4 linked regions of the Drosophila melanogaster genome follow. The protein of the gene in region 1 purifies or fractionates together with the protein of each later gene. This does not show direct contact. Each region holds a gene or a part of one and is shown on either strand. Other genes may lie near its edges. The genes, in order: Syx17, Ykt6, Vamp7 and car.

Region 1 (4,234 bases):
TGACATGGCTGCAAGTCATCGGCTGGGAGCGTGTCGTGTTTGTCATCGCAGATACGCGAACACGCTAATATCGTAGTCCAGTCCAATCGAATCCAATCCAATCCAATCCGCTGGCACTTCCAGACACATGTGACAATTGCCCAGATCCCACTCCTAAAAACAACCTGTTGGCCGCTCTGTGTCGTTATGACTGTAATTGGGCGAAGTCGTCTGGAAAAGTCAGTTTCACTTTTGCAGATGATGAGCCGCTGATTTGGGTCAGCCACACCGCTCGAATCCATTCCAATCCTATTCGATTCACACCTCGCTCTGGTTTGTTTTCCTTGCTACTCATTGCAGGCGGCACATTTGCATGCAACAGCGAACGGTTACGATGCCCGTGAAGCGAACGGAGGTCTACAGTCGTCCCACCTGGAAGCACGTGGCCACGCCCTGCCAGCCGCCCACCTTTAGTGGCCAGAAGTGCACCAGGGTGCAGGTGGTCCACGAGCAGGCCTACAGGGACGTCATCGATCACAAGACCGCCCAGCAGATGACCTACGACTGCTGCACGGGATGGAGCCGGGAAAACCCAAGGTCGGATTCGTGCATGAAACGTGAGTCTTAAACAAAATACATAGATTGCAATGAATTTGGAATATTTTTATCTTCTAATTATTTACAGCTATTTGCTCCGCGCGCTGCCAAAACGGTGGCAATTGTACGGCTCCTAGCACCTGCAGCTGTCCAACTGGTTTCACAGGACGTTTCTGCGAGCAGGATGTGGACGAGTGCCAGACGGAGAAGCCATGCGATCAACAGTGCATCAATACGCATGGATCTTACTTCTGCCGCTGCCGTCAGGGATTCGTTCTCCAGTCGGATCAGCAGAGCTGCAAGAAGGTGTCCACGAATGCGGACGATGCGTTCGAGGCTCGGGATCTGGAGAACGATATCGATGATACGGACGCGGAGGTGGCCACGCGACTCCAGAAGATCGAAAAGTCCTTGGCCAATGAGCGAGTGCACACGAACGAGCTGCAAAAGTCGCTGCAGGCCACCTACAGTGTGGTGGACACACTCAAGAGTCGGCTAAGCACGCTGGTAAGGATTAGAGTTGAACTTCTATATTTGAATATTCATACTTTAACGATTACTTCGTATGCCCTCAGGAAAAGCAGGCTCAGGATGTCAGTCGACTGCAGACGAATCTCTACAAGACAGAGTCCCGGACGAACAAGCTGGAGGGTATGCTGAACCTGCTGCTGAAGTGCCGGAATGGCCCCAATGCCAATTGCCCCTAAACAGAACTGCATTTCCCCACGCTATTATTAAATGTTAGTTAACTTAATTGACCACTCCGTTCATGTGTAGCTAGATGCTCCTGCTTGTAAGCCATTCCCGAATGCGAGTCGAGTGCCTCTGTAGTCTGTAGAATTAGCCCACGGATCGGGCTATTAGTACTTAAGCGAGAACGTGTGTCATAAATGTATCGAGATGTGAAGTTTTAGACGTAAGCGCACCACCGCACTCTGCACCGCTCTTCATGTGGGTGGTGCAGTGATTAGTTTCTGCATGTATCTGTATATAATTTTAATGTATATGAGAAATCACTGCACGAATAAATGCATTTTCTGATTTTAATGGGTCTTTCATGGGATATTTAACAAAGGAAATCTATTTATCTGGAAGTTATCATGAAAAAAAAGGTAAAGTGCTGCAATATTTACTTTTATATATTGGCTACAACTTAACGCGCAACATAAAATTTGGTTATTTTTCCTTTTAAATGCAATAATGGTGAGTCAACAACTATTTTTATGACCTCGGCTGTAAGCTGACCTTTTAGCGGGGATTCCCACCAGCGGAGACAATCGATAACTGTAAGAATAATATCGAGTGTGGGCAAGGCTGCGCAATATTCGCTAGTATCGAACTGATTGCCATCTCTATCACCAATAACAAACAAATAATTGGACTGCACAATAGAATTATTATCAGTATAAATATAGGGGACAAGACCAGCATGATTGGAACCATGCCACCGTAGTTTCATTCACAACAACAAAGCACTACTCACTGGAAACATCCCGAAAAGCAAGCAGTGACGTCACTGGCAAAACAAAGCAAAAACTGCGCAGAAAAACCAGGGAAATCTGTTAAGCAAGGTCCATCGTTAAAAAGGGGCGGGGGGTGTTACAGAAACTGATCCCCCAGATTTCACTTTTACCACAATTAAAACTGATTAAAAATCAAAGCGCTGCGAGTTCAAAGTATTCAGTTCACGATGACGCGCGATGAGAAACTGCCACTTAAACAGGCGGAGGTCTCCATCCAAAGGTTTCAGGATGTGGCGGTAGGTTATTTACTATATCTTCTGAAGAGCGGAACTAATTCCTTAACACTCATAGGTGCCCCACCATCTGAGCCTACTGAAAAACCATCGCAGCAATATAGAAAAAAGCCTGGCGCTCGGCGACTGGCAAAAAATCAAAAAGGAGGAACTCAATGCTATGAGGGTCATTAAGCAGATCAAGAATCTACTTCTGGAAATGGATGCACTGCGAGAAAAAGTACGGGAGGAGGATCTGGAACGTTTCGACGACCTAATGAAACCTGGCAGGGATACTGCCTTCGCTGGCATGAAGGAATTTGCGGGTAAGTTTGAAATGCCATCTAAATTCTTTCGGCTTTACCAACACACCTACTGTATTTTTAGAGCTCCAACTCAAATCACCCACCTCCACTTTGAGTTCTCAGTACGACGACGATCTGGACAATCAGCCACAGGAGGTGGATATGAACAGTCTACCCGCACACCGCCACATGCCCCAGCTGCAACTCAATTTCCAGCTGGAGGAACACCAATTGGCGCAGAGGCAAGCCTGCCTGGATCAGATGGAGAACCTGCAACAGGAGATCTACGATCTGCACGGGATGTTCCAGGGAATGCGTCAACTGACTGCAGAGCAATCAGTGGCGGTGGAAAAGATAGCAGACAATGCGGAGGAAGCTCTGGAGAATGTCCAGCAGGGCGAATTGAATCTGCGCCGGGCGCTCACCTACAAGAAGGCCATGTACCCCGTAGTCGGAGCTCTTCTGGGCACCTGTGTGGGAGGACCCATTGGTCTGGTGGCGGGCATGAAAGCTGGAGGATTGGCGGCAGTAGGATGTGGCATCCTCGGCTTCACCGGTGGCTCTGTGCTAAAGGCCAATCCCAATGTAATGCATGGCAACATCGAGGAGGAGCAGGTGGAACCGGATAGCGAGTCAACTGAGAGACTGGAGCTAAAAGAGAAGCCAGAATGACCCGCAGGAGGAAGTGCCCGATCCGCATCCACGGCTCTGGCCACCACGCACATATGGTCGGCGAACACACGACGTTTGGAGGCAGCCACCAACGGAGTGATTTGCAGCGTGCGCAGCTATTGTTCCGTTCAGTAGAAATTTGACCACGATTTTAGTTCAATATCCCCATTTTGTGATTTTCCACGTGCAATAGAGCTAATGAGCATAATGTAACTGCACTTTAGTTTAAGCGTTGGATACTTGTTGTTCACATGACACCGCAAATGTGTGTAGATTTTAAGGCTTTAATATGCAATAATAACTCGTAGCTTTAAAAAAGTAATGATACTATTTGATTGCCATGTTGAGAAGTTCAGACTATATCTGGGTTTTTCAGAACTTGTTTGGGCTTTAATATGCAATATATACTCTTAGCTATAACATCTTTGTAGAAAAAGCCTACAAAATCTCCTAAACTAAGCGAGGACTTATAAACTACGATAAGATACCAGATGGGTAACCCAGCCCCGGATTTATAGGGGAACATTAACCGTGGTCCAGGCCTGTTTGAAGTTCTTCTTCTGCGAGTGCTGCTTCTTTCTTAGACGCTTGGCGGTCTTCTTCTTCTTGAACCACGCAGGATAATTGCCGTACTGATCTTTGAGGGTCTTGCTGTTGAAAATGTGCTCCACGCCCGTGTTCTCGTTGGTCACCTTGACTTTCTCGCCCTTCTCCAGACTCTCCTGGTGCTCGTAGATCAATTCCTGCTCCTCCTTGGATTTGGCCTCCTGTTTTAGGAATACAATTTCTTCTTTAATAAGGATATAAAATACGTAACAAGAATGAAGGTAGTATCGCGATAAACTAAGCCGGTTTTTCGCATATTACATGCATACAATACATATAATACATTAGGTAAATTGGTATATTTGTAGGTGGGTATATCACATAACTAACCCTTTTGAGC
Region 2 (4,113 bases), on another chromosome or scaffold:
TGAATAAATTCTAAATATTACTATAGATCACTAACACAAAAAAAAAATGCATACAATGTTGATGCAAATCAATAAAAAACGAGAAGCCAAGCAAACGCGTTTGAATCAATGTTTGCAGCTTAAGCTAAGTTAGCACACACAATATTATATTAATTATAACGAAACGATATAGGTATGCAGTATAATGCATATATTTATAATGCACCGCCTCCCCTTTCTCCCCGCGCAAACACACAAGAAAATTGCGATGGAGAGGGGGCGAAAACTAAATTGTAATCGATTTACCTATCTTATACTAGGCTATACAAACCGAACCCATTAAACATAACCAAAATCCAAAAGGTTAAACACGAAAACGTAAGGAAAACGCATAAATATGAAAAATGTAACGGAAATCTTTACAAGAAGCGAAATAGGTGTCTTCTATATAATAAATAAACGCCAACAGAAAATCACTTTTAAATTGATTTTGCTTTTTTGGGAGGAATGGAATTTGCACTTAAGATAAAGTGGTACGTATTACATAAATAAAAATAAGTTCATGTGCTATGTACAGAGCTCGTACAAATAGTTTGTACATTTTGCCAAAATTGACAAAGATAAGGTTTGTATATGTGAGCAATGAAAACGAGCTTGGTTCACATTTCCCATAATACTTCTTTATTGAAACGCCCACACATTCCGACCGCCAGTTGCCCGGATCGGAAGTGCGACTGCATGTGTATACATAGGTGCAGCCTTCCGATCCGATTGGTATACATAGATCCGCCGTGGAGGCGATAAGAAGGCCCACAACATCAATAGCTAGCAAAGGGCCAATTTTGGACCGCCGTGCCAACACATAAGTGAAGAGAAGATTATGTTAAGCACATGGGTTTAGATCGTAATCTGTATTGGTAGTAATTAACATTTAGATATCCAAAGCGTAGACATATACAGACAGGTAGACATTGGGTTAGCGGACTATCGTAACTGGCAACTGGCCATCCTATTCATACAGTATATAATATAATATATATATATAGTATATAAAATTAACTAATTCATTTATAAAAAGCAATCATCAAAGCCCAAGTCGCACCGCTCCCTTGGAGTTTGTTTGGTTGTAGTTTGTTGGTGTTATCGTGTTATCCATTATCCTTTGTGTTGTCTTTGATTTGCATTTTCTGGTGTTTCCTGTTGTGGTTGTTGCTTGAGAGGATTAGCGTGTGGTGGGGGGTGATGAGAGGTGCAGCTGTCGTCTAGGTGAAGCTGCAGCAGGAGTTAGTCTTTTTCGCCGTCTTGTAGAACGCCTTGCTCTGCAGCGACAATTTCTCCGACTTGCTGACCATGTCGTCCAGCTTCTCGCCCCGCTCCAGCACCGCCTCGATGGTATTCTTCAGTATGATCTTCGTTTCGTCCAGGTCGTTTTGCATTTTCGTCAGCGGATCTGCTTCGACGGGATTTTGATAGCGTGCTAGAAACGCTGGCAGCAAGTCAAATGAGATAGTGGCCTCCGTGCCATTGGGCCACTGATCGGCCGACACCTTGGCCGTAAAGTCATCCAGAATCTTTGTGATAAGCGTGTGCGCCACGCGATGCGGATACTCATGATCGGCGATCAGTACACCGGCCAGATTGTCCGCCCGCACATAGACATGACACATGTAGGCATCCTGTTTCACCGATTGCCGCAGGGCCGGCTGTGTGCGCTCCACAATCGTCTTCGAAGCGAAACTGCAAGAGGAGGAGTTGTTTAGGGGGGTGTTCGTCATTGATGACTCTTTGAGCCTGCGCCGTTCTTTGGCATCCACATGCATACTCACGTCATGAACTCGTTGACGGTGCCACGTTGGAAAAAGGAGAAGGACTGCAGGTCCGAGGCGGTCTTCAGGAGACGCGCCTCGCTGGCGCCCTTGTGAAAGATGCTCAACGCGAATAGTTTGACCATTTTGAGTGGCTGTGGGCTGCCAAGACTGGGTCTGCGGGTCGCGGGTTGCTCGACTGTTGCTCCTCCAATTAAATGCTTCTGGGGCACTGAGCTGAACGGTTGTCCTGGCTAATCCTACTATGCTCCGGCGGATGGGTTTCACTTTCAGCGCACTGGCATTCGTGGAAAAGTGCGACAAGTGAGTTTGTTTAACGCAGTAAATCTGTGCCGTTCCCCTCTGTGTGTGCGTGTGTGTGTGCGCGGGTGCACATATGCGTAGTGTGTGTCAGCTTATTAGGGATGGTACGTCTGGTATTCGGATGCCATCCGATTATTATCGATTCCAATGGTTACAATTAATAAGCGCAACTTTCTGTAAATGTTTTAATTGTGGTTTTTATCAAACTAAGTTGTTAGCAATACTTTCTGTTACTAACTGAATCTACGGCCATTTGTGGTGTACCATCACTACAAACATCGATAACTACTAATCGGCGGTAACGGCAATGTAACGGTTTTCTTAAGCACTGCAATCTGACTGGTCGCGATTTCTTAAATAATTTCAATGGCAAGGCGTATTAAGTTCCAGCGGTTGGCAGAGATGCGTCCCACAATGACCCGTTTCTCCACCGTTGCCCTGATTGTCTCCAAATCCTCGCCGAACATCTTCTATGACAAGATGAGTGGCACCGAACGAGGGGTTCTCAGCTTGACCATCCGAGATTCCCCCAATCACCTGACCAATTGCAAGTGCTGGGGCCAGCGGGACTGTGTGGATGAGTACGCGGCCATGCTGCAGATCGGCCATGTGGTAGACATTGTGGGCGCTAAAGTGATGTCCATACCGTTTGCTGCTCCGGGAGAACAGCGTTATCAGCCCCAAGCGACGGTCTCCTGCGCCCTGGTGGTCAACGAGGGATCCGGCTATGTGGTGCGCCACGACAATGACGACTTTGGCCAAATAACAATTCTCCAGCAGTTACTCCATCAGCCCATAAGGCCACTTGGTGCGGTCCTTAAGCTGGCGGATGTGCGTTCCGGCTTGGGATTTCCCGATAAGATAATCACCACCAATGTGAATCTACTGGTAGTAGTGGCTGCAGTGCGTCCAGTGCGTCAGATAAAGCGAAAGCTGCAGGGGCCACTAAGTGAGGTCCAGGAGCTGCTACAGTGCTTGGAAGTAATCGTGATCGATGCCAGCTATCCGGAAGGTATGCTGCTCTCCGTTTGGCAACCCGACTGGATACAACGTGCCCAGCAATGGCAGCCACGTCGCACTGTCCTTCATTTGATCGACGTGCGTGTTTCCTACTCGAACTTTCATCGTTCTCTCGTCCTCTCCCATTCCAATTGCACACTTATTTGCGAAAATCCTCAGGCGGCTGGAGATGATTGCCGTCTCTTGCTAGCTTTCGCCGCCACTGTGCCTCTAACAACTTTTAGTGGCTGTGACCAGGCAGAGCTGGACAACATGCCTGCAGGTGAGTAAAGGATAATTAATGCAGTATTATTATTTACTATAACTCTTTCAGTTGCCAGCATTCAGGCGCAGATGACGGTAAGACAGATATATTCACGCGCCGAGGGCGAACTGCAGGATCCGTCCATACATCAGTTTACTGCAGTGCTGTATGGGATGGTCACCAAGTTCGACTTGGATGGATTGACCTCCCACGTCAACAGGAAGTGGTGGGTGTTGTACATCCCCATCCCTTCCTAACCGCCGAAACGCTTCCCACTATCCGTTACATAGTTTACAAGACATATTCTTAAAAGCCCTTTTATTTTACAGCATTGCCTGTCAACAACATATACCACGGAACCTGCAAGATTGCGCCTCGGACGCCTGCCAGCAGTATTTTTCATTGGACAATGATGAACCACGATCCATTAGCTACTTCAATATCAACATTCATTTGTCCGACCAGACCGGCACTCTCGTCGAAGCCCGGTTAGCTGGACATCCGGCAGAACGTATCCTGGGACTTCGGGCTGAAGACTTCGAGCGACTGGCGGAGCGCGAGAAAAGCGAGCTAAAGTGGCGCTTTCTGCTGAAATACTTCGAGGTAAGATTGATGATCAAAAAGCCGGTGGGAGTGCGCAATCATCTCGTCATTGTGGTCGTCGACATGCAAGCCATTCCCCTGGAAAAGCTTGTCGCAAATATGGTCGTTTTCTAAGTGTATGTGGGGTGGTCCCATCAA
Region 3 (4,037 bases), on another chromosome or scaffold:
CGTGAAAGTAGTTGGAGGCCATTCCGGCCGCATAGTCTAGTCCATGGGAGTCACGTATCCAGTGCGAGTAGCTCAGGGTGCTTTGGTCCATATCGGTAAAGCTCCATATCCAGTAGAGCGGCATTTGGAACAGAAACAGCGTCGTGGGCATTACGTTCCTGTAATTCCCGGTAACCGAAATTCGAAAAAAAGCTACGAGAAGGAATCCCACAATCAGGTATATCGATCTGTTGTTATACGTGCACGAGCGCCGCAGGATTATCCACAGCCGATCCTCGGGCAAATAGTACCGCCCATTGCTCCCATATTCGACGACACAGCGGTACAAGCGAAGGAGCAGATCAGCCAAGAACACGGTGGCTACAATGCGAATAGAGGTGTCTGCAACGAATCACGACCGTAAAGATAATTTATGGCGTCCATCGGTCATCACTCACCAATATAATCTCCTATCATCTTTCGAAAATAAAAATATTTTCTGCCTTTTTCCGCGCGAACCGCGTTCCCCGCTTCGACAACGTTGCTAGCGATTGCCATTTCGTCTGCATACATATGTACGTCTCAAGGGTTGCCAGATCGATTTGGAGATCTCGCGAAAACTTCGCTGGAATTTCAAATGCCGTTAAATTATATATAAATTTGTTTATTGGGCTTGCATAGGTATACATAACTGAATTTGGGCTCCTAAATATTAATTACATTGCGTGCACATACAAATGCACATATTTATGTATGACGGAAGCAATGAAGGAACTACATTGTTATATCTTTTTATTATTATTTACTTTTGTGTTTGTTTATCAGGTATCAGATAAGATTTTATCAATATAGCCTCAAAGATTCGTTAATCAATTTGTATTCGAAATAAAACTTTAGGTAACAATGTCCGGTTCCGACTATCAGATACATATACAGACATGAAATCTGCTGACTGTAAAGCTCTCCGCCCTCTGGAACAAATATTCGTGAGAGCCGGAGCCAGCTCTAGACTCCTCCCAAAAACGCATATTGTTATTCTAGTGTCTTTGGTAAGAGGGTATACTAGATTCGTTGAAAAGTAAGTAACAGGTAGAAGGAAGCGTTCCCGGCCATGTAAAGTATATATATTCTTAATCAAGATCAAAATAATAAAAAATAACAAAGATAATTAAACATTAACAATGGTTAACCAATTGGTGGTTAATTAACCATCAACAATGGTTAACCATTACGCTCTTACTCTGCAACTTAAATACTGATAGCTACACCCTAAACGAATTATAAGATTTGATAAATGATCTTATTTAAGCATGCTTATTGTGTTCTAATATTAAATTCTATAGAAACCTTATCCTGTAAAAGGCTCAAAAAAGTGCAATCGTGCCATATTTGTGGCCAGAATAAATGAGAATTCTAAGTCTTTTAAAATAAGTAATTTTAAATCGAATATTTCGGCAGCATATGCGCATATTGAAACTACGTATATTGTATCTTGCGTGTGTACATAGTTTAAGTTATTACCTGCGGTTTTTTCTGTCAAAACGAATGGATCCAGGCTCAAAGATCTCAGGAGCAAAAGCTTGGGAACGCTATTAATTTAAATTTACTTTAATGGAAAATTCTTTGTCCGGGGAGAAGAATCTCAACTGGATGAACTGATGCTCTCGTCAATACTGAAACGCTATCGGTGGGATGCCCCTATTTAAGTTGCGGAGATCATTTAATTTAATAAGCAAATGCAAATAATCATAAGACCGTATAACATAATTTGTAAAACACGTTATGCAGTGTGACCGTGCGATAAAGCCAGACTTATCGGCTCCATTAAATATCGATGCGTCGATGTACCGTCCTTCCACCTCTAATTTTATAACTGCATCGAAGCGTCAGCAATTGTTGTTATTTGTAATGCAAAAATCGAGCTAATTCCACGGTATTGTGATGTTTTTATTGTGTTCGGCAAAAGCAATTGAAAATCGATAATAACTTAAGCCGCTTACCACAAAATGTAAATCTGCAGTTGCGCTATCAACTCGAGGCGGATCTAATTGGATAAACAAAGCAAGTACTTTGATATAACAATTTGCATATTACACATATATACGTATGTTACTCATAAACAGAGTTATTGTTCAGATTGATAGGCTCGCAATTGGATAGTAGTAGTTTCTAAATCGATATGTACATTTCTCAGAATCCGAGAGCACGTCATCATTGACGGATCGTCGGCTCATTCCCCGATAAGCAAAACAAAGCAGTAGCCTGAGGAGCTGAACAACCGCGCCCTTAGCAAAGGAGAATCTGTGGCACCATGCCGATACTATATAGTGTGATATCGCGGGGCACCACAGTGCTGGCGAAGTTTGCGGAGTGCGTCGGCAACTTTGCCGAAGTGACGGAGCACATAATCGGACGGATCGGGGTGCATAACCACAAGATGACCTACACACACGGAGACTACCTGATCCACTACACCTGCGAGAACAAACTGGTCTACATGTGCATCACCGACAACGTGGGTGAACGAACCACTGGCCCAATTAGCCACCTCAGTTGCTTATTGCCCAATCGATAACGTATCGTTTCTTTGTAGGAGTTCGAACGGTCGCGGGCCTTCCTCTTCTTGGCGGATATCAAGCAGAAGTTTATCCAGACTTACGGCCTACAGGTGGCCACCGCCATCGCCTACTCCATGAACACCGAGTTCTCCAAGATCCTGGCCCAGCAGATGGTCTATTTCAGTCAGTCCCGGGAGGTGGACACCATTTCGCGAGTACATGGTCAGATTGACGAGCTTAAAGACATTATGGTTAAGAATATTGGTATGAAGGAAGGAAAATCCGTATGTTCTTTTTGTTTACTATTCCCTTTTCATCCCATTTGCAGACAGCTTGCGGGATCGCGGCGAGAAACTAGAGCTGCTCGTCAACAAGACCGAAAACTTGAGCAATAATGTAAGGTGATGCCAAGCAGAGACTTTTAAATGTGTTTTTCATTTGATCTCTCTTACAGTCCGTTGCATTCCGTAAGGCCTCCCGAAATTTGGCTCGTCAAATGTTTTGGAAGAACATCCGCGTCTACGTGGTGGTGGGTCTGGTGATAACCTTCATCGTTTACGTGATTGTGAGCATGGCCTGTGGTGGCCTCGCTTGGCAGTCCTGTGTTTAGGACAAGCTTTAAAGTTGTTTATATTGTTATAGGCTCATAACACATGTATATTTGCATATAAAACTCTACAGTACTCTCATCTATGTTCTATGTAATAAACTTCAATGTATACCGGATAAAGTGTTAGAAGAGATAATGGAATATTCACTTGTCCTCCACATACACGACGTCGTTGGCCTTCACCTTTCCCGGCAGCCGAAGTCCCATATGAACGCCCAGAGCCGGCGAACTGTAGTTGAACAAGCGATAGCTGTGGATTCCAGATATGAGGGTCGGGTTTTGTAAGTCGTACTTCTCAGATATTTCCATGGGTAGTGACTCACCTTCTGAGCGTTTTGAGAGGCTCTCCTTCGGAACTCCTCTCTGCGGTCTTCGCATTAATGTTGGTAAAAATACAGCGAGTGCATGGCGCCACCGTACGGAAAACAGCATCTTCGCCTATACGCACCCACTGCCAATTGTCCTCGGCATAGGGCTCATCAACATCCATTTTCAGTTCGAAGTTACCTCGGAACTGCAGTGCATCCACCGGATTCTTTAACCGAGTATTAAGATCGGCGACCGACGAAAGGTTCATCAGCATAAAGCTGGTGGCATCGTTAAAAGTGCCCTATGGAAAGAATTCAAATCAAGGGTGATCTGGGTCCTAACACTTCGAATTGCGCATCAGGAACATACCGAGTCCTCCTGTCTAATGAATGGCATGGACTTTAGGCGGGGATTGGTGCATCTCACTGGTTTCGGATAGGGATAGTGAACTAGCTTGAGGCCGCTCTCCTTCTTCAGGATGGCCTGGGAGAACCACGTGTTGATCCGATCTCCGCAGGGCATCACGTCTATGGAAACGCCCCAAACGGAAGTTTTCACATCCTTGCCAGGACCGTCCAGCT
Region 4 (6,095 bases), on another chromosome or scaffold:
AGCATTCGCATGTACGGCTTGGCCGCCTTGCGCACCAGTCCGATAATCAGCTGTTGTGCATCTTTGTTGCCTTCCAGCCGCTTGATCCGCTCGTGTAAATACGTCAACACTTCGGCATCCCGTGAATCGCTTAGCTGAATGATCACCAACGAGGACCAGACCTCATGCATCACCCACATCGTCGGCTGCAGGTAGTACAGTAGTTTCTGCAATGTTAATCTATTGTGGCGCAGCTCCTGTTCGGCTTGTACGATTATCAGCTAGGCTCGGTGGAAAAAAAGATTAGTTAGGGAAAAATTTTGCCACGACACGATTGCACATCCTTACATAGAAGTCGTGTGTAAGTTCCTGCAGTGCCTCATTCAATGAGTTCATCACCTGACCCAGGCCGTCGGTAGCCGCGATTATCTTCTGCACGCCCATGAAGTAGGAGGCCAATGGCAAGATTTCCCGCACCTGGTGTGTCAGCGAGCGATCGAGGTGCGTGTGTATGTCAAAGTCCGTGTCGTATTTGGCCAGGCCAACGGCAGAAATAATTGGCTTCTGAGGCACCAGGAGGCTTTCTCTTATGCCCGTGAGGCAGTGCAGCAGCTCGTCGAGCAGCATACTCTCCTGGCTGAGAAGCGGCATTGCCGCGATCTCTGCCCTCGGCACCTTGTCCCCGTCCACCTTGTAGTATTCCCACAGTAAATGGGTGCGGTACTCATCGGGCACATCAGTTAGCGTCACCAGGTCATTCGGCATTGACTTTGGGCTGTTGCCCGTTTTGTTGGTCACCGAGCGGTAGCCGCTCAAGGATTGATCGGAAACGGCATTAAGCACACGTTCCTTGATCTGTGTGGGTTGATCATTGATTATTTGAAGGGGCCAAGTAATTGGCAGCGAACAGCACACCATACTTAGTCTGCACTCACCACACTTAAGTCGTTGCGCTCATCCTTGCCCGCTCCACGGTTACGGTCCATTGGGCCGCGCCTGACAAAGACTACGGGTGTAGTGTCGGATTCAGTGGCCTTTTTGCAATTCACCGGCGTCGAGGTGGGAAAGTCCTGGGACTGGGTCAAGCTAAGCCTGGTGGAACCAGATACGTTTTGCGATGTGGTTAAGATTGTCGAGGTGCTTGCGATTGCCAATGTGGTGGGGACTGAACCGGCTGCGGAATTAACATCCGAAGTCTTGTTTCCGTGCGGCAAGCCCATCGCTGAAAGGCTAGTGGAACTGCTGCTCTCGGAGACTGGTTTGCATTCGCTGTATCGCTCGACGAACACCAGCAGTGCGTACATGGGATCCTTATTCTGCAGAATGTGCGAGATCTCCTTGGTCACCTCTGCGAAGTTGGGACGCTTCTCGCTGATGGACACCAGGACTTTGATCAGATCGCAGGCTGGCAGCCGCCGATCACTAGTGGCCCGAAACTCCCGAATGATGCTCTCCGGAGTTAGGGGCGATCTGTGGGATAAAAAATGACAGTAAACTATGGTGCCAATGGCGGGAAAGAGGCGGTGCAGGAGCAACGGCTAGATCGACTGGCCACCTGTGCACTCAATCCACTTACTGCGACTCGCTGATCAAATTGGCGAGCACACCGCGCAGCGCATGGGGTTTACTCATCACGGAGATGGCAATTTATAGTTCCGCGCTTCTCAATTTACAGTTATAACCGGCAATTGAGCTCTTTTTGAGTGCGCCGCTCTTCTCAATATTTTGTTGTTCTTTTCCGGGTTGCTTGAGTGCCGACTGCAGCGACAGGGTTGTCATCTGTCCTTGTAATGTTCTAGTTTTTTTTTCAATCCTTAGCCGTTTTAAAATCGCAGATGCTCATTTTATTTTACGCGCTTGCAGCAATTTCGGAATCAATTTAAACTGAAATGAGCAGCACAAGCAACTTGATGCAAATTGGCATTTGTTGGTATTTAATTGTGAGGATGTGGTGACACTGGTTGCTGGCGAAAAAGAGGGGTGCGTTTAGCATAGTTTACACTGGACTGGCCACTACTGTAACTTATTTGCGTTAAAGCGTGCAAAGCATTGAAAAAATACAAATTTTGTTAAATGAAAAAAGCTGTACATAAAAAATAAATAAGAAATACTTTCTACCCACAGATTAAATAATTGAAACTACTCCTCTATTATTTTATTCTATCTTAACTTTATATTCTTGTTTAATCAACAAAATTTATATCTGGCAACTGTTTTGATTTTAAATTGCAGGCAAGTGATAGTGTGAATGGCCCATAGAGCAGCGGACAGTGTGACCGTGCCATAAGGGTAAGTGTAAGACCGCACTGCTGAGCGCAGGCGCAGTCCAAATCAGCTGCTTTGCAGCGATTACAGTCGCGTCCCTGATCTTCTGCAGCCGAAATCCGTGGGCGTTGCACCAACACCACCAACGCACTGCACAAACCGCCCACCAAGGACACGGTAGCGACCGACCGGAAGCCGCAGAGCATACGAATCAACACTTCTGGCAAGAGGAAAGGAGCATGTTCCCCCACTTGAAGGGCCATGGTCAGCGGGTCAACCTGCAGTTGCTGCAGGAGGCCGCCTGCCGCGAGCTGCTGCAGCAGCTGGACCGCATTGAGGGTTCCAAGGTTATTGTGCTGGACGAGACCATGATCGGACCGCTGGACTTGGTTACCCGGCCAAAGTTATTCGCTGATCGAGGCATCCGTCTGCTGGCCCTCAAGCCGGAGCTTCATTTGCCGCGCGAGGTGGCCAATGTGGTGTACGTGATGCGCCCACGCGTGGCGCTGATGGAGCAGCTGGCCGCCCACGTGAAGGCAGGCGGAAGAGCGGCCGCTGGACGGCAGTACCACATCCTGTTCGCCCCGAGGCGGTCATGTCTGTGCGTCAGCCAACTGGAGGTCAGCGGCGTGTTGGGCAGCTTCGGAAACATCGAGGAACTGGCCTGGAACTATCTGCCGCTGGATGTCGACCTGGTATCGATGGAGATGCCCAATGCCTTCCGCGATGTGAGTGTGGACGGTGACACTAGCTCGCTGTATCAGGCGGCAGTGGGCCTAGTGCAGCTGCAGCGTCTATACGGTCGCATTCCGAAGATCTACGGAAAAGGAGAGTTTGCGCACAGGGTATGGGAGCACGCCAAGCAGCTGGGCCGGGATGAGCGGACTCTGTACAACGGCGACAAGGGTGTCGTCGATCAGTTGATCCTTCTGGACAGAAGCATCGATCTGCTCAGCCCGCTGGCCACACAACTCACCTACGAGGGGCTTATCGATGAGTTCTACGGCATCCGGCAGAACAAACTGACGCTGCCCGCCGAGAACTTTCCCTCTGACGGAGCCCTTCCCGGAGGCGGAGGCAGTGGCCCACGAGTCGAGGAATCGCAGTCGCTGCTGGGTGACACCGAGAAAAAGACCATCCTACTGCACTCCGGCGAGCAGTTGTACGCGGAGCTGCGGAACAAGCACTTCAACGAGGTCACCAAGCTGCTCGCTCGCAAGGCACGGGAAATTCACGTCCAGATGCACGCCACCTCCCAGGACAAGAGCGTGCAGGAGATCAAGAGCTTCGTCGAGAACCTCCTGCCGCAGCTAATGGCCCAGAAGAAGGCCACCTCTGAGCATACGGCCATCGCTGGCCTCCTGCACGAACAGGTGAACGCGGTGCGCTTCGCTGACGACCTGGCTGCCGAGCAGGAGTTCATGGTCTGCGCAGATATCGACAAGCCAAGCGCCTACATCGAGGACCTGATTGCCTGCAGGGTGGAGTTGAATCGCGTCCTGCGGCTCATCTGCATGCAGTGCCACGCCGCCTCCGGATTCAAGGAGAAGCTGCTTAACCACTACAAGCGCGAACTGGTCCATGTGTACGGTCTGGAAGTGCTGCTCACCATCAGCAACCTGGAGAAATCGGGCCTGCTCCATCTGCAAACAGAGTCGCGGGCTTACAGCGTTCTGCGAAAGGTGAGCGCCAATTCAGTAATCCAACCATATTTAGTTATAAGTTATATAGTTATTTGTGAGTGAATATATGAGGGAATGCTATTTAGGATGTTGCTACATCAAAACATCATTTTCTCTTGCAGACGCTGCACCTCACGGTGGACGACAACGTTGAAATTGAGCCAAAGGACATCAGCTACGTGCACAGCTTCTACGCTCCGCTGACCGCGCGCATTGTGGAGCATTCGCTCAAACCGCTGGGTTGGCAGACGCTTAAGAGCCAAATCAATAACCTGCCCGGACCGACGTTCGAGGACTTTCAGGCGCAGTTGGTGGGCATCGGTGGACGGCATACGGTCACCACAGTCAGCGAGGGATCCCTACTGAATGTGCCGCGAGTGGTGCTCGTCTGCTTTGTGGGCGGATGCACGTTCGCTGAAATAGCTGCGCTGCGTTTCCTCGCCGCCCAGGAGGACAACAACGTGGAGTTCCTGATTGCCACCACGAAGGTGGTCAACAAACACTCCTTCCTGGACAGCCTGATGAGCTCGTGAGGCCGGCGGCTAAGCCGACTGGAAGCCTATCGCCTGTCCAACGCCCACGGCCTGGCACGTGGATGAAACGCGTCCGTTCCGCTGAAGCCGAGATCAAAGAGAAAGGGCAAGCGGCGCAGCGCGGCAATCGGGACTGCAGATGAGAATCCAGGATGCTAGGGGCGTTGTGAATGACACGATTACTAAGGACTCGCCGGCAAGCGGAAACCATAAAATATTTATTTTTCGAACGCGGCATTTATTATTTATTCTTGTAACCTAAAGAGCATGTATGTATATAGATAGATTCAAGCATAATATGTATATTTATGTATACCGAAGTATGTAGTCTTAAGCAAAAAAAAAAAACAAAAAAATTGCAAATCCCATTTATTCAAGCTTGGCAATTGTAGTTTTAAGTGCAAATAATTCCAACTTTCAATCATACATACGTGTGCAAGACAAATATTTTCAAAATAAAAAGTTTAGTCAATGTTATGCCGCCACATACATATATATATTCCCCAGCGCCATATACAGATTACAAACCGCATATTTAACCGCATATCGATGTTTTATGAGCCCGTAAATTGCCCGTATTGCTTGTAAATGGTTATGAATTTCTAAATGATGTGAATTTGATGTAACTTTGTGTATGTTCGTTCAACAGCAGCAAGTGCATTGAATGTTCCTCAAGGCTTATCCTTAAGCATGTATATCATATCCGGAAAGTATTGGATCCAATGGATGGCGGAAATCCAAATATGTTGAAATGTAATTAGTGATAGAGCGCATATGGGTATGTAGCTGTGGCAATCAATCAACAGCTGCAAAAGATATTTAAGATCTTTATCTTTATCTCTGCTGATAAGCCAAAGTCAACAAAATGTTCTATGTATGTATGTTCTCGCATTTCGAGTGGAACGAACTGTGTACGACTTTCGTTTTATGTGATCAATAATATTCTCATCCTTATGTGCAAGACCTAAATGTATCTCAAAGTGAACATTTCAATGGTGTTTAAATTAATCCGAGTTCCGAGGTTATTCGACTCGATGTAAATGTAATTAAATGAAATTTCAAATAAACGGAAAGCATTCCAAACAAAAGTGTTCATTATCTTTCTTTCTCTCTACTCCGTAGATACTCAAAACGTAGAGCGTCGAGTGTTAGATACTCGACTAAAACATACCCGTTAATTTGCCGAATGATGATCTGCCTGTTGGGTAATCCCTAACGAATCTAGCATACCCTTTAACTCGAGCAACCATATATGCATTGCCATCCTTTAGCAGTTTGTCGTCCCAATCCCAACTTCTTCGCTTGAACAGCACTTTCCGAAATCGATGTATAATGGCTAGACATCCCGACCGCAATCCGCTGTCCATGTCCCAAGTAAACTAAACACGGAACTGCGGCCATGTGTATTTTGAAATATGTTTTATTTTATTGACATTGACGTGTGCATCAATTTAATTGTTATTCGTTTTCCATCTTCAGTTACCGTAATTGCAAAAATACAATTTATATTCGTATAATAATTATTACAATAATACAAAAAAAAAATATATATATGAACAATTTTATAAACATAAAAATATTACATATACTGTGCTTCCCCGTGCTTCTTTCTAGCTATCTTCTATCTCTCTCATTT

Evidence for each region.
Region 2: the proteins of Syx17 (region 1) and Ykt6 purify together in Drosophila melanogaster (affinity purification with western blotting; one study listed by BioGRID). This does not show direct contact.
Region 3: the proteins of Syx17 (region 1) and Vamp7 purify together in Drosophila melanogaster (affinity purification with western blotting; 4 studies listed by BioGRID, with this or other methods). This does not show direct contact.
Region 4: the proteins of Syx17 (region 1) and car purify together in Drosophila melanogaster (affinity purification with western blotting, with the first as the bait; one study listed by BioGRID). This does not show direct contact.

Annotation. Positions count from the first base shown.
Region 1 is NT_037436.4:4,401,561-4,405,794, forward strand, and holds Syx17 (syntaxin 17), read left to right. Parts: upstream 1-1,926; 5' UTR 1,927-2,266; coding exon 2,267-2,335; intron 2,336-2,390; coding exon 2,391-2,637; intron 2,638-2,698; coding exon 2,699-3,288; coding exon of another isoform or gene 3,289-3,423; 3' UTR 3,424-3,608; downstream 3,609-4,234. Other genes in the region: slow (slowdown), read left to right, coding at 340-596, 665-1,083, 1,152-1,283; CG15019 (uncharacterized protein), read right to left, coding at 3,801-4,055, 4,225-4,234.
Region 2 is NC_004354.4:7,918,493-7,922,605, reverse strand, and holds Ykt6 (YKT6 v-SNARE), read right to left. Parts: upstream 2,198-4,113; 5' UTR 1,931-2,197; coding exon 1,806-1,930; intron 1,717-1,805; coding exon 1,242-1,716; 3' UTR 640-1,241; downstream 1-639. Other genes in the region: hdm (hold'em), read left to right, coding at 2,475-3,390, 3,442-3,598, 3,702-4,089.
Region 3 is NT_033778.4:9,840,304-9,844,340, reverse strand, and holds Vamp7 (Vesicle-associated membrane protein 7), read left to right. Parts: upstream 1-1,838; 5' UTR 1,839-2,040; intron 2,041-2,115; exon of another isoform or gene 2,116-2,173; 5' UTR 2,174-2,290; coding exon 2,291-2,494; intron 2,495-2,572; coding exon 2,573-2,801; intron 2,802-2,865; coding exon 2,866-2,933; intron 2,934-2,991; coding exon 2,992-3,147; 3' UTR 3,148-3,261; downstream 3,262-4,037. Other genes in the region: sting, read right to left, coding at 1-381, 438-537; Marc (mitochondrial amidoxime reducing component), read right to left, coding at 3,292-3,397, 3,471-3,757, 3,826-4,037.
Region 4 is NC_004354.4:19,563,859-19,569,953, forward strand, and holds car (carnation), read left to right. Parts: upstream 1-2,160; 5' UTR 2,161-2,268; intron 2,269-2,324; exon of another isoform or gene 2,325-2,356; 5' UTR 2,357-2,483; coding exon 2,484-3,926; intron 3,927-4,048; coding exon 4,049-4,459; coding exon of another isoform or gene 4,460-4,525; 3' UTR 4,526-5,543; downstream 5,544-6,095. Other genes in the region: Grip84 (Gamma-tubulin ring protein 84), read right to left, coding at 1-260, 328-834, 915-1,449, 1,556-1,611. UniProt on the Drosophila melanogaster protein: Core component of the class C core vacuole/endosome tethering (CORVET) and the homotypic fusion and vacuole protein sorting (HOPS) tethering complexes involved in endo-lysosomal vesicle trafficking and lysosome biogenesis.